Linked DNA regions of Caenorhabditis elegans. The protein of the gene in region 1 purifies or fractionates together with the protein of each later gene. This does not show direct contact. Each region holds a gene or a part of one and is shown on either strand. Other genes may lie near its edges.

What was found.
Region 2: the proteins of cyn-5 (region 1) and trpa-2 fractionate together in Caenorhabditis elegans (co-fractionation; one large-scale study listed by BioGRID). This does not show direct contact.

What each region holds. Positions count from the first base shown.
Region 1 is NC_003279.8:15,037,976-15,045,461, forward strand, and holds cyn-5 (Peptidyl-prolyl cis-trans isomerase 5), read right to left. Parts: upstream 3,300-7,486; 5' UTR 3,298-3,299; coding exon 3,091-3,297; intron 3,042-3,090; coding exon 2,634-3,041; 3' UTR 2,499-2,633; downstream 1-2,498. Other genes in the region: gldr-2 (PAP-associated domain-containing protein), read left to right, coding at 1-32, 78-293, 796-1,423, 1,572-1,819, 1,874-2,066, 2,300-2,426; bltp-2 (FMP27/BLTP2/Hobbit GFWDK motif-containing RBG unit domain-containing protein), read right to left, coding at 3,910-3,948, 4,687-4,932, 4,985-5,176, 5,226-7,486. UniProt on the Caenorhabditis elegans protein: PPIases accelerate the folding of proteins. It catalyzes the cis-trans isomerization of proline imidic peptide bonds in oligopeptides.
Region 2 is NC_003279.8:7,179,667-7,186,933, reverse strand, and holds trpa-2 (Ion_trans domain-containing protein), read right to left. Parts: upstream 3,882-7,267; 5' UTR 3,873-3,881; coding exon 3,724-3,872; intron 3,650-3,723; coding exon 3,504-3,649; intron 3,456-3,503; coding exon 3,352-3,455; intron 3,310-3,351; coding exon 3,154-3,309; intron 3,105-3,153; coding exon 2,973-3,104; intron 2,498-2,972; coding exon 1,979-2,497; intron 1,907-1,978; coding exon 1,742-1,906; intron 1,544-1,741; coding exon 1,469-1,543; 3' UTR 1,282-1,468; downstream 1-1,281. Other genes in the region: M05B5.3 (uncharacterized protein), read right to left, coding at 1-225, 274-489, 1,177-1,186.

The DNA of each region.
Region 1 (7,486 bases):
GACCACCTCTTCTGGAGTTTCGGATAAAAAAGGTAAGTCAGAAGTCCAATCGCAGGCTTCTTAATGAAAAATTCAAGACGTTTCAGGTTCTGAGGACGAAATAGGTGATATAGTTGACGAGTGGGATGCAAATGACGAGGAGGAGAAGACTGACGAACTGGAAGAGCTTGAAGATGACGATATTCAGATAATTGAGGCAGGGGATCAAGGAAACGGTGTAGAAGAGGTCTCAAGCACAGTGATTTCGGTGGAGACTCCCAACAGTTCTTCAGATGAGAATAAGATCTACAATGGTACAGTTTGAGAGAAATGTATTCCTCACCTTACAGTTTTTGGTACTTGTGTATTACATGTCCTCGTTTTTAAAGTATTTTTAAATTATAAAAAATAAAAACGTGTACCATAGTTTTGTATCTGTAGGCTTAGGAAAGAACCATTTCTTAGCCTAAAGAGGAAAAGTGCATACAAAATTAAATTTAAATGGAGAAATTAATGAACATTTCATCTAATTTAAAAAGGATGACATGTAATACACAGGTACCCAGTTTTTGTTGAAATTCGAGGTGGTTACTGCAAGGAGCCAGAAAACACGTTAGATACAAAATCGGCCTGAGAGAAAATTATCAACTTTTCAGGCGTTTAAGGCGAAAAATCATACATTTTTAACACCAACACAAAAAAGATTGCTCCGAAATCAAAAATTGTAGGATCCTCCTCGAGGAGTACACGAATTGCGTATATCGACACTCGCCCAACTGTTCCATTTTCAAATATATAATACAAAATTATTTCCAGGCCACCAAACGCATCAAATTTTCCGAGAAGTTCGCCAGTTGCCAGTCAATTATCAGGCACGAACCATCGGTGTAGTGCTCAACGAGCGGATCGCTGGCTCCGTCGAGAAGTTTGTGAACTCGATCACCAAAAAGTCGTTCAATTCTGTCAAACAATTGTCTAAATTGGCATGGGATCACTACCTGGGAAATGCACAACCGGATTTTGTGTTTCTCAAGAAAATGGAGGCTCGTCAAAAGCTATTCTCGGAGATCAAGAAGCTGTTCCCTGACACAGAGATCAAGCTCCAGACAACTGGCTCAACAGTGAACGGATGTGGATCTTTCAACTCTGACATGGATCTTTGTCTATGCTTTCCGACAAATGGATATAAAGGACAAGTATGCGACGATTTTCACTGCGACAGAAATTATTCGACGAAAATTCTTCGCAAAATTGATAAGGCGTTTCGAAGATCGCATTGGAGCCATCCTCTGAAGAAGATAATCAAGACAATGCAGCTGGTGCCGGCGAAAGTTCCAATTGTGAAAATGATTTTGAATGGAGAATTTGATGGAATTGAGGTTGATATTAATGTTAATAATATCGCAGGAATATACAATTCACATCTCATTCATTACTATTCATTGTTAGTTTTTTTCTCAACAAAAAATCAGATATTTCAAAATTTCGGCTGAATTTAGATAAAATCTTCAATTTTGTAACCGAAAAAATTAAAATGTGTGCCAAGTTTGAAACGCAATTATGAAATTTGCAAGATTTGTTTCTATTTTCAGAACGGATGCCCGGCTCCCAGCTCTGGCCCTACTCGTGAAGCACTGGGCGATGGTTACTGGAATCAATAACGCACAGGACGGATTTCTGAATAGTTACACGACGATTCTTCTCGTTGTGCACTATCTTCAATGCGGTGTCACTCCAGCAGTCATTCCGAACTTGCAATACTTGTTCCCGCACAAGTTTGATCGAAAACTTCCGCTTAATGAGCTTCTTCTGTTTGGCGATATTGCGGACAAGTTGCCCAGTAATTTGAAGTGCTCTTTTTATTATCTGTCTTACTAAATTTAACCATTTTCAGCAAGTCCTCCCAACACGTGGTCGCTTGGAGAGTTGCTCATCGGATTCTTTCAGTACTATAATGAATTCGATTTCACTAATTTCGGATTTTCAATCCGCTCGGGTCAAGTCATTCCTCGGGAAAATCTCCCCCGTGATCTCATCAACAGTCCGATTGTCGTTGAGGAGCCGTTTGATGCGATCAACACAGCCAGGTGAATATTGGAAAAAATGACCGTGTGTCGAGGATAAGATTATTCAGTTTTTGGCTAAAAATTGATTTTGAATCAATTATTTTTTGTGTTCACGCTCAACTCAACATCTAAAATAGTATAGATGGTTGATTATAATTCATAATACCAAAAAAGAAAACATCAATTTCCTGTCTCACTTCAAACACGGTTTGACTGTTAATCACTGAAATATAAGCTAAAAACTAAATTTTCAGAACTGTACGCGATGTTAGCCACATGAAATCTATCAAATCCGCCTTCCGCTGTGCCGTCCAAATAATCTCTTCAAATAAAAATTTTACAATGCGTGATCTCGGTGTAAACGTCACAGAATTTGACTAAAAAGTTAATTTGTTCTTTTTTTTTATTCGCTTCTTTTTTCTTATAGTGTTCGTATAGTGTTAATCAATACATACTTTGTAATATTATTTAATTGGAAACGCACAAAAAAGTCGATAAATTAAAAAGAAACTCGAATTACTCTTTAATTCAGGTGTCTGAAGTCAGGAGAATCACAGATCGATATTTAAAAAGAGAAGTCATTTGAGCTTAGACGACGGCCTCGCGTTCAACAGAGAATGGAGTGTCGACGGCGATGTGTCCAGAAGCGGCGATGATGACGTCTTGCTTCGGGCGGTCCCCAGGAAGCTTCTCGGTCTGTTCGATCTTGCGGACCACATCCATTCCTTCGAGGATCTTTCCGAAAACGACGTGGCGTCCATCGAGCCATGGGGTCTTGACTGTGGTGATGAAGAATTGGGATCCATTGGTATCAGCTCCAGCGTTGGCCATCGACAACCATCCGGCTCCGTAGTGCTTCAGCTTGAAGTTCTCGTCGGCGAACTTCTCTCCGTAGATAGAGCGTCCTCCGGTTCCATCTCCACGGGTGAAATCTCCTCCTTGAATCATGAAGTCTGCGATGACTCGGTGGAACTTGCTTCCTGGATATCCTTCTCCCTGAAAATTAAAAAAAATATTTTGAAACTCGATTTCTTGAGCTGCAAACCTTTGGCTTCTTGGCGAGCTCAATGAAGTTGGTGGCGGTCTTTGGGACGGTTTTTCCGAAAAGTCCGATGACGATACGTCCGATTGGTTTTCCTCCAATTTCCATGTCAAAGTAGACCTTGTCAGTGACCTTTGGTCCTTTGGCATCGTCTCCCTGAGCAAGAGCTCCGACAGCGAGCACGGCCGCCACAACAAGAAGCGACTTCATACCTGCAAAAATTATGGTGTTATATTGCGAGCAAAAAAGTTTAAAAAAAAGCAATAGTAAGAAAATGTAAATAGTAAGAAAAGCAATAGTAAGAAAAAAGCGAAATATCGAATTGTTTGATAACAATAATTAAATACCACATTCGAAAAGACATGGTGATAAGAGTACATTAGACATTTTATGTTTAAAAATGAAAAAGTAAAGCCTTAAAAATGAAGAAATAAATACAAAACAGTTACCAGCAGGAACAATTGAGATGAGTTTTCTGAGAATGACCCGTGCTGAGAGGGAAGACGAAGAAAAAGAACACGTCAGCACACATAAACCACACGGTGCAACGTGGATAGAGCGATAGAGAGGGCAAACTGCAAGTGAGTGAGTGGAGGGTGACGAGAGAAAGAAGGGGAAACCGAGTAAAAGGTGACCAGTGACCATTTGGTAAATGTATAGGACAGGCGGTATGGTGGGGTGGTGGTAGTGTGGTACCAAATGCACACAAACAACAGCGCAGTAATATACTCGGGACGAGGGGGGGGAGGTGAAGACGAGACGAAGATCGATTGGCCTTGACCCGTTAATCGGAGAATGTGATGAGTGGCCGGACGCGAGGCGTCACTTCGGGGCTTTCAGTGTTTTTTGATCGTATGTTGTCTGGAAAAATCGATTGTTGTAGTGGAGAAGGATTATGATTTTAGATTTCACACGGCCCGAGAAGTGGTACCTGTACGCAATTTGTCTACCGTATACCTGGACGTTTGGGCGCGTGTATCTCAAAAACGGTTGGTCCAGTTTTTTTGTGATGCATATAAAAAATGTCCGAAATTAAATTCTAAATTTTTTGGACCAAAGCTTTTTTCGTTATCACGCGCCCAAACCTGGTCTACACTCAAATTATCAGTAGAGCGCATTTGCATGGATGTACCACTTGCCGGGCCGTGTTCAAAAAAAAAAAAAATTCTGAGAATGCGTATTAAACAACATATTTGACGCGAAAATATCTTGTAACGAAGACTACAATCGAATATTGCTGTCACTATTCGAATAGAAATACATTTCGAAAATCGAGCCCGTAAATCACAAGCTCTACAGTATTCTTTTAAAGAGTTACTGTAGTTCTCGCTACGAGATATTTTGCGCGTCAAATATGTTGCGCAAAACATATTCACAGAATTTTGTGTTACCGTAATTCGGCTGTAATATACTTATACGGATAATTTGTTGCGAACTCAGCCCGGAGCGCAAAGTGGAATCAATCGATTTTTTTTTAAATAAAAATTTAAAAACAAGTTATTATTAAGTAATCATTAGATCAGATTTTGTCAGCATTAAGATCAGAAAAAGCGGAAAATTTTTCTTCAAGTTTCTTTAAAATTTGAAACAAAAACCTACAATTCCCACTGCTATCCGCTTCTTCTCATCCTCACTGACTCCCTGTGGAATAGGATCGATAGAAAAATTGGAAATTCGATTTCTCAACAATTTCTGCTTCATAAACTGTTGTACGAGCACTCGTTTGCAGTGCTGCTTGACAGCCAACGCCAAGTCGAGCCACGTCCAATTTTGCTCATGGTATTCACAGAGGGGGAATATGAAGTTGAATTGGTTCACATCTATCAGGTTTTTGTCCTTGTTTCCCTATAAAAAAAACTCATTCATTTCATTTTCAATTTCCTTTCTGTGCTCTCACCTTATATGATACTACAAATGAAACTTCCGGAATTTTGATATACATAAAATGATTGACTTTGTCGGCGCGCTCCTTCATTCGATCAATGTCATCCTTTTCGTGAAGAGATTTCTGAAGCATAAGCTTCTCCGACGCAGATTTATTGCTTCGCATGCTAAGTGTGCTGGCAATTTTTCGTGTGAATGAGAAGGTCTGAAATATGAATATTACAATTATTAATTGGATACTGTTACAATCTCACCGAAACTTCTTCCTCATGATCCAGGTTATCATTCGTATGAATATTCCTGCCAGGAAAAAAGAATCTCATCATTTTATCAAATAATCGATGAGTAATCTCTGCAACCATGGGAGCTATGTTCAACTCAAAGTGCTCTTTGACACTTATACCTCCAACAGGAGGCATATCTCTTACGAATAGTCGAATGGCAGGCTGCCTTGAGAGTCTAGTCTCATCTCTGTGCAGAGCATGCTTGTATATTGAATCAGGAAGGAGGTTCGTAATCCGGACACTTCCAACTTCGAACAGGTGATCTCCACAGTTACTATCCCTAACTGTACGTGTATAGAGGAAATTTCGAATTTGCGTCTGTGCCAACGCAATCTGTCCATCACTTTCGGTCAGCTTCCAAGTGCAATCTTCGAAGCAAACTTCAAATCTCCTTACAACTTCCATCCCTTTCTTCGCACTTTTCTCATCAAACTCCTTCACCCGATTGACCTGTCGTTGCTTATAGCAACTAATATACGTGGCAAGTTTCTCAGATACCGTAAGCATTCGTTGCTTTGTATCCTCTGCTTCAAGTACGAGCTGATCTTCCGTGTACTCAACTGGTTGTTCGCAGTGCGAACCATTCATCGAATTCGAATTACCGTTGCTCAGGTAGAACAACTGCCGTTCCAGAAATCTTCCGAGTGAAACAATTTCTCTGAGTTCTGATTGATATCTCATGATTTTCGCTCGCAACTCCACCATCTCCATTATCTGACACTCGAATCTCAATCTCCTTCGCTTTTCGCCCATTTCTTTCTTATAGGGATCCACGAAAAGCGCTAAATTATTTACAATATCCACAACCATTTCGTATTGCTCCGAGTTACTTGTAGCTTCTAGCATATTATGCTTCAAAGTTAGAACATCTATTCCAACAGCGTCAGGGTTCAATGACTGATGTTTCGGATCTAATTGCGGTGGCACCGAGATATCTTCATTTGACTCTGTCTTCAGCTCATCGGAGAAGTAACAGAAATAAATCTGACAGCTACATCGAGAAACAATTCGCTGAAGTTGAACCTTCTCCTCTGATTCATCTGGCGCCTCCGACTGAACAACTCCACCGACGGCTTCTCCTGCTGCGGTGAACTTCTGCACAAAATCGTCAGCAAATCCACTGGTGTCCTGTTGACTTTTCTCATCGATCATTTCTCTAGGCAACCATCGGAATTTCTCCTTATTAGTGCCGGTCGCAGAAATTGGAGCAAAATATTGCATTCCAGAGATTTTGGCGCTCCATGATTTTTTGCTGAGAAGCAAACTTCGTTTCCATACGTTGCGGTGGAAATTCTGAAGAAGTTGAGTTTTCGCGGCACATACGAGTAAGAAACCATCACGTTCACACCCTTTAAGGACAAGTTGACTGTTGAAAAGATCAATTTGCCAATTCAGAAGCTTCACATCATCCATAGTGGATTGATGTACTCCTAGAAGTGAATCTATTGGAACATCAGACGCCTGTTCACAATGAGCAACCAGCTTCGTTCCTACTTCATCTATAAGCTGAGTAAGCATCCAGGGATTTGCCTCAGTTACACTGTACCCTCTCCGATGGGTTTTTTCCTCTTTTTTCTTTGGCGAAGGATCCTTTGGAGTATCTGATGCTTCTTCCAGATGAACATTTAGTCGCTTCACTGCATCATTACTAAGAATTCTTCTCAACATATGAGCCCTGTGAACCCCGTCGGCAATGGTAAGACATGCATCTCGATTCTGAGCAGTCCAGGCCATTTTCAAATCAAACGCAGTAACCTTATGAAGAGGTACATCCTTCCCTGGGAATGTTTCTCTCGCATATTGAACTCTTCCGAATCCCAGTAGAAAAGTGTCTTCGGAAGGGCTACCGTCAGTTGGTGGACGGCTTGTTTCACCATAAACATGGATCTGAGTAGCCCACCAGGTGCATGTCATATGATGGGTACTCCAGGAGTAAACTTTTCTGCGTTGAACATTCATTTCCCTGTTCACAGAGGAATGTGATACAGTTTGACGGAATGAGGAAGTCAGCTGAAGGCCATCGGAGAAGACTTGGAATCCATAAGGTGATGAGTGGGACATCCAATAAGTCACTAGAACCTTGGGAAGGGAAAATGAGAATTGTAGTTTTCCAAAGTGTTTGCTCAATTGGGGTTTCAACAGGACTCGATTCCCAAATACGGTTCCTCGGCGAACATTTCGATTCTTGGTGGTCAATGACTTCAGGAATTGCTCGATCCATCGGAAGGTGT
Region 2 (7,267 bases), 7.9 Mb from region 1:
TCTGTTGAGGTGGCGGTGGAGCTTGTTGAACATGATTTATGGGTTGAACCGGTTGAGAAAGAGGACGAGGAATCGGTGAACATCCAACTTCATCATTTGGAACCTCGTTGACTTGACGAACAATAACTTCTTTGCTGTTTTTTTCTATGACATGATTGCAAGGCTTGGCGATGATATGGATATTCTTATTTTTTCTCGATGAGCTTCTTCTCTTTCTCTCAGGCGCTGAAAATGATACAATTATCTTGAGAAAAAGATCATCCTTTCACTTACGTTCCAACTCTTGTCTCTTAATATTGAATTCCATTTCTTTTCTTTTATTCTCTTCGTCTTTATAAGCATTAATCATCTCATCAGATTTTTGACGTAATCTTCTCTTGTAAACCCATCTTACAAAAAGACATGCGTAGAGGCAAACTCCAAACAGAAACAGAGAGAAGACAAAGAAAACGATATTCAGCCAGATGTATTGAAGACTTGAGAAATATTCTGCAATTTTTATTTCATACTTTTTGAAAACTTGAAAGTTGAAGTATTACGGGAACAATAAATCATGAGAATGCGTACTCGGTGCATTTTATTTGACGCGCGATATCTCTTAGCGAAAACTACAGTAAGAGCTTAAATATCTATTGTTATTTGAGTTCTTACTGTAGTTTTCGCTAAGAGATATCGCGCGTCAAATAAAATGCACCAAGTACGCATTCTCATAATTTATTGTTCCCGTAATATACAAATAGCCTGTCTGTTATTCCGGTTTTTTTTAACTAAAAACTAAATTTAAAAAAAAACGTGGATCACGTTTCTTGCATTAAAAATTGAAGTTTTTGGTATTTATGCGCCCCCGTTTCGGGATTTCAAATTTTGAGTTTTCCAATACTATTCTTTGTTTTCGTGATCACTTTTGGTCAAGGACCTCTGACCCTTTTTGTTTTTGAAAGCTGTGTCTCACTGAAGCCCAAAAATTAAAACCGTATCTGAAAAATACCGAACCATAAAATCGGTTTTAGCTACCAGAATTAGGGCTAGCAATGAGTAGAGGGTTGCTCCGCGGCTCGTAATTACAGCGAAAAAAACGATCCACCGATTTGCTCAAAATGGGTTGCATTACCAACGAAAGCCAGAGTTCATTTTTCCGACGACATTTCACTTCAAAATTGAATAACTAAAACTAACCAGATGCCATTGCTCGAGACTTGAAATCTTCAACTCGTCCAACTCACACCAGAATGTAACAATAAATTTGTTTTCCCTCGAGAACAAAAAAAAAAGAACGAGATCCAACATTACCAGAGTTCACGATAATTAAATTATAAAATTAAAAATACAATATTTTAAAAAAGTCAAAAGAAAACAAAAACGTCTAAATCAACGTGAGATCGATAATTTAAAATAGAAAATCCGGGAAATAAAGAGAAGGAGCAGTAAAGGTAGTACAGAAACCAGTTTTTAAAGAATTTTGGGGAACTCAAATGTCCAAATATCCAGCCCAATCGAGACCAATCAACCATTTGGCATATCCGTTCCAGCAGCTACTTGTATCCTTAAATCATTAAAGTTATGCACCTTCTAGTTTCTAGTTAGTTTTTGGGTCTTTTTAATATTTGGCAATTGTTGATTTTTTGAAATACCAAAAATTTCCCAATCTCTAGAACAAAAAGTCACAGTATTTTCGAAACTTGTTACTATGCTTTTTGGTTATTTTAGTACAATCGAGAATTACTGAGAAATAAGAATTCACCTCATAAATTCTCGAATCAGGAGTAGAATCGATTACTGGAATTCCAGATTCAGTAGACTCAATGCATTCAATGTCACATTTGCTGACTGTAGCTGTCTTTACACGTCCTTTTGATGTCTTGATACGTAATCGCATTCCGGTTTCCATGAAACTGATTTTGAATGCCTTAAGATGAAGTTAATTAGTAATTAATTTCCCCATATATTGTTCAGAAAGTTTCACAAAGTAAAATATTACCTCATCTGAAATGGCCACACTTGCAGAATGTGGGAAAACATCAAATTCCGAAATATAAGTTCCGTCGCTGTTAATGACTAACACATTTGGTGTCTTTTTTGTGTGAAGTCGGAACATTTCATTTTGAAATTGTTCACTGATTTGAAGAGCTTCAATTACAAAATTTACTTTGATCTTCAGTAATTTATCTTGAGCTGTATTGTTCAAATAAGTAACATCGCCAACCGCAAGTGACACCATCAAATTCATCAGGAGGATTACTGTAATAATTTCAAAAACAAGTACAAGAATACTTGGAATCCATTGATTTGTATCAAGTATATCATTTGCATCAACTTCTCCAATCATCATTGTTGATGTTTTAGTGACTGCTTGAAGAATAACCAGCATTGTTTGAACCATTGTCATATTTTCAGTTTGTTGATCAATCAATGGCCAAGGTTTTACACCAGTGTCTCTCATAATTAGTAGAAATGCAAACGAAAATGCAATGAGAGTTGGTATCCAAATAGTAGCAATCTAAAAATCATAAAATCCTGGTTCAGCTTTTTTTTTTGCCCACAAATGACATCGCCTTTGCCGCGCCCAAATTAAGCGCAAGTTACTAGGTAGATTCTTTTTTTTGGATTCGACAACGTTTCTGGCCAAATCTTGCTAATAACTTACTCGTGTTAGAAAAACCCAAGGTAAGTTTAAATAAAATTTTGGCAAAAGTTGGAACCAAAAAATTTAAACTGAGGCGCAGTATAAACCTATTTCTGCCCAACTCTTGCACAAGCTTTTCCATCTTTTGTTTCAAGTTTTATTTCTGCGGCGAAAATTGGGACTGGGATTGGGGTCAAACGACCTTAAATTCCTAACAAAAAACGTTTTGGTATCAATTTTGTTTTGAAATTCAGTAAACCATTTTTCAGTTTTTTTTCGTGATATAGGTTATTAGTTTTCAAAATTTTCCTACAAGAGCCCCATAATAAGTTAATTAAGAACAACTCACATGCGCAAAACTCCTCAAAATTCGTGTCATCATAAATATATAAATTCCAAATGGAGATTTTCTCATTATATAGAGAAGGTTTGCCCAAGCAGAGATGATTGCAATGATTGGAAGGAACCAGGTGACGATTTTCTGTGAATTTTAAAAAATATTAAAAATATTATTTTACTGAATAAAAAACCTTGACTTCCAAATGATAATCATCATATCCAAAAACAGTTGGTAACCAGACATATGCTAATGTTGCCATATAAGTGAAGATATTAAAGCAAAAAGCAACAATAAACCAAGTCGAAACACTTTTTGTTATTCTTGCTTTAATTGTTCCTTTTAATACCTAAAAAACGATTTATTGATAAAAACTTTTGAAAAATCTCACCAAAAACATAAAAAAGATTCCAGTAAAAATGGTGATCAAAAAGTCCTTGAACAAATTTCTAGAGAAAACGTGCCACGCAAGTAGGAGAAAAAAGACCAGAAAAGCTGGAAATATTTAAAGTATTTGATATTTCCTTAAATCAAATATCTCACCAAGAATGTGAAGACTATAAAAGAATGCACAGTCAATGAGTTTTTGATTCACGTAATTCAGAATGTATGGATGACGAATTACACCCCATTTCTTTCCAGATTTCAGTTTTCGAAGCTCCTTCCAGTTGAGAGTTTCACCAGACCCACTGAAACGGAAAGAATTTTTGAACTTTACTGAGTAGATTAATTTCTATTTTTCAATAAATAAATTCAAACTCACTTCTCATAATTAAAAATAAAAGTGGTGGAATCTTCAGCTTTATTTCTGCGAATTCTTGATCGTTCGTTGCAAAAATCAATGGAAATTTCGTCATTGATTTTTTCATTCCGATGACCAAGTTCTTGAAGGGGAACTCTTTCAGCTTCCATGTTCCGCATCTGAAATATAAAAAAAACAATCAATTAGAAAAATGAAGAGGGTTTCAAAATGAAAGAAAAAATTCATCTGTTTTTTCTTTATCATTTTTATTACAAATCCGGTGATGAATAAAAAACCTAAACCCTCTTTAAAACTGAATTGATATCTCTTAATTCATGATTCACAACTAGAACGAAAGAAATTTCAAAATTTCAAGAAAGACCTATACATGTCTGTATTTGTCAATAATTGTCTGCGTCTACTATTCATTTCGAGCTCCCAAAAATGATCGATCGCATGAAAAATGAGTCACAGATGAAGTGGCAGGCAGGCGGGTACAAAATTGAAAGAAAAAAGTACTTGAGAAATAGAAAATAGAAGAGGTGTTTACTATCTTTGTTTGTGCCAAAATGCAACAATGCGCGGATAAAAGCAATTCGTCTCCTCCTCTTTCAATCCCTCACCGGAAATTTAAAAATGCGAATGAAATTGACACTATTTCCGGTTTAAAATTACTTGTCAATCAGTCTGTGCCAATTTTTTCGGTACTAAGAAACGGGAAATGTACAAAAATGGAATCAGTTTTGATAATTTTTACTTGTTTGACTTTTGACTTTTAGGAAATTTGATGAAAGTATTGGTTTTTTTGTCTGTTTTGAAAATGATTTTTTTTGTGTTCCCTATTGAGAAGAAACAAAACTTAAAGAATACATTAATTTTTTCGAATATTCGATATTGTCAAAAAATTTCGCCAATAGTGGCAGAGTGTCAATCACCTTATTAAATAATGAATAAATCTTGCAGAATTCCCCAAAAACTAGCTTTTATAGAATTTTTAAAATTGCAAGGATATGTAAAATGTCTAGACAAAAATAATAATTTAATAACGATAATAATTAAATACCGCCATCAGCAAAATTTAAAGCCTGCACAACTGCCTCAGTGTTTGAAAATTTCAAAAAATCATGGAAAACGGTGTAAAATGAGGACAAAAAGCAGTTGCGTAAACAGAAACAAAAATACATGTCTTCCAAAATTTCGGAACTTTAGAGAAAAGAAAAAGGAGAGGGAAGGCTCAAATAGATTAAAACGGAAAAGAATGGACGTTGACCAGTTGATGATGTGACTGGTTTTCAGGACAGCTCAAATTGCATTGAAAACATTAATATATACGAGTATTGTCAATAGGCAGCGAATTGGTTGGTTATGGATAGAGAATGTAGGAACCGACATGCATGACAGTGTTTGCAGATCATTTTGAAAAGAAAATGACAATGGTATTAATTTATTTAGCAATTGGTGGTTTTGACAAATAATCCAATTGAAAATAGGTTATACATGTTCAAGCAAACATCCACAGTTTCTTATAAATTTCCTTAATTTCAAATTAAATTTGGCTTCTACATTCTGAATTTTCAAACAGCTCAGCTGGATCAGTAATAATTTCTACTAGAATCTGTTGATGAATGTAGAATGACTCAAAAAAGGAGAAAAAATGAACGAAATCGAATAATGCCGCCAAAGACTCATTTGTAGGTATTTGTATGTGTTTGTATGAGACGAGGTGATTTTGTTGCGGTATTCACAATGTTTGGCAACCCATAAATCGAAAAAAGAGAGTAACAAGAGAGAAAGGTGTGTGTCAAAAGGCCTCCGAAGATCAACACTTTGGAATAATTAAACTAGAAATAGAGGGAGAAGCTTCAGAAGAAAAAGGGAATAAATAGAATAAGAGAGGTGAGAGAGCACTAGGATGAGCACAGCTCAGAAGCCTCTTATTCTGAATGCATGAGAGGCTTCAAGCCGACTAAAGGAATTACAAGCGAAGGAAGAGAGGTGTCACGCTGAGAAAGAGCTGCAGAGAAATGTTTGGAAATGCTGACAGTATTGTTTGTGTGTGTTTCAGGTAACATGTACTAATGTTCAAAGTTGCAATAAGCTATTATTTTGATACATTTTTGAGACTGACAGTGTGTCCATTCAAACCTTTGGAAAGTTTCCAAATATTTTTTATTTATTTTTAATTCCGACTTTTTGAGAAATTTGGAGCCATATTGCATGTTTAATTTTTTTCTCTACTATTTTAAGTACGAATAGAGGGAGGAATAAGCAGAAAAGTAAAAACAATTTTAGTCGACTTCAAAAACGAAAATAGGTTAAAACTGTGCCTGTCAATTTTGACTGTACATAAAAAAATTTCGAAAATTGCTTGAAAAGTTCCAATACGGTATTTGGTTATATTAAGAACATAAGATCCTTATAGGAAAATAATTAAAAGATTTCCTCACTGGCGCTACTCTACTTAAGTAGAGTGAAGCTTTAAGCTCAGTCAGTTTTACCAGCATGATACAGAACACCGAGCTTGTATAAATTCAAGACACTCTGTCAAACTTTCCGACAATCGTATTTACGAGACGAAGAGCCTAAAGAGACAACCACAAAGTAATTGCGTCTAATTTGGCGGAAAACTATGGGAAAACTGCGGAAAAACTGGAGGAAAAGAGATGGGAGAGCAGAAGAAGGATAGAGTTTCGAAAAACAATAAAATAAAATGAGAGAAGAAAAGCATGTAGGTGAAAGGTTTCCAAAATATGCAGATGGTTTGGAAAGAGAACCTCAATCGAAATGCGCGAAATCTAACCGCTAAAAAATCTGTCTAGTGTCGCCAGCTGAAGGAGCGGCACATGTGGTTGTGAAATGGGAAAAATGGAAAACGAAACGGATATTCTGAGGGAATTGAAAGAGGACGGCATAGAATTCGTGCACCCCTGCCTGAATTCGATGTATTTGTTTATAAATTCATGGACTCCCATTAAATGACCACCAATGGAATATAAAGTGGATAGTATGGGGTTAATTAGAATAATGGAGTTGAGAAGTAATAAAAAAATTTAGAAAATTAATATTACCCAATTGTTTTTAAAAATAAACTGCTTGGACTATGACTTTGACCATAAACACTTACTTCTAAAAATACATATTACAGAGCAAATCAAAATTGTTGATACGTTTTGGCTGCTTGGAACACTTTGAAACGGGTAAATTGTGAGTTTCAATTTTTTGTTTTTTCATTATTTTTCATTCTGTAGTAGTTGACAACAATCTTGGCACGCGTTTAAATTTGTATGGTCTCTTATGCTTCCTAAATGTCTCTCGGAACATCTTGTGTAAAAATTGACAAAGGTGGCAAAAGGAATATTGAAAAACGTCTTATAGACTATAAGTTATACACTTTTAAAAAAACTAAAAAAATCTAATTGAAACGTGAAAGACAAACTTATATAGGGATATTCACGTCAGTTAAAAAAAACTTCAAAATAACAGTTTGAAATTAGAAAAAATTTATTACGAATTTCAATTATTTCCTGAAGCGGTCGTATCAAAAAAATGAAGAGAGTGTAAGTTA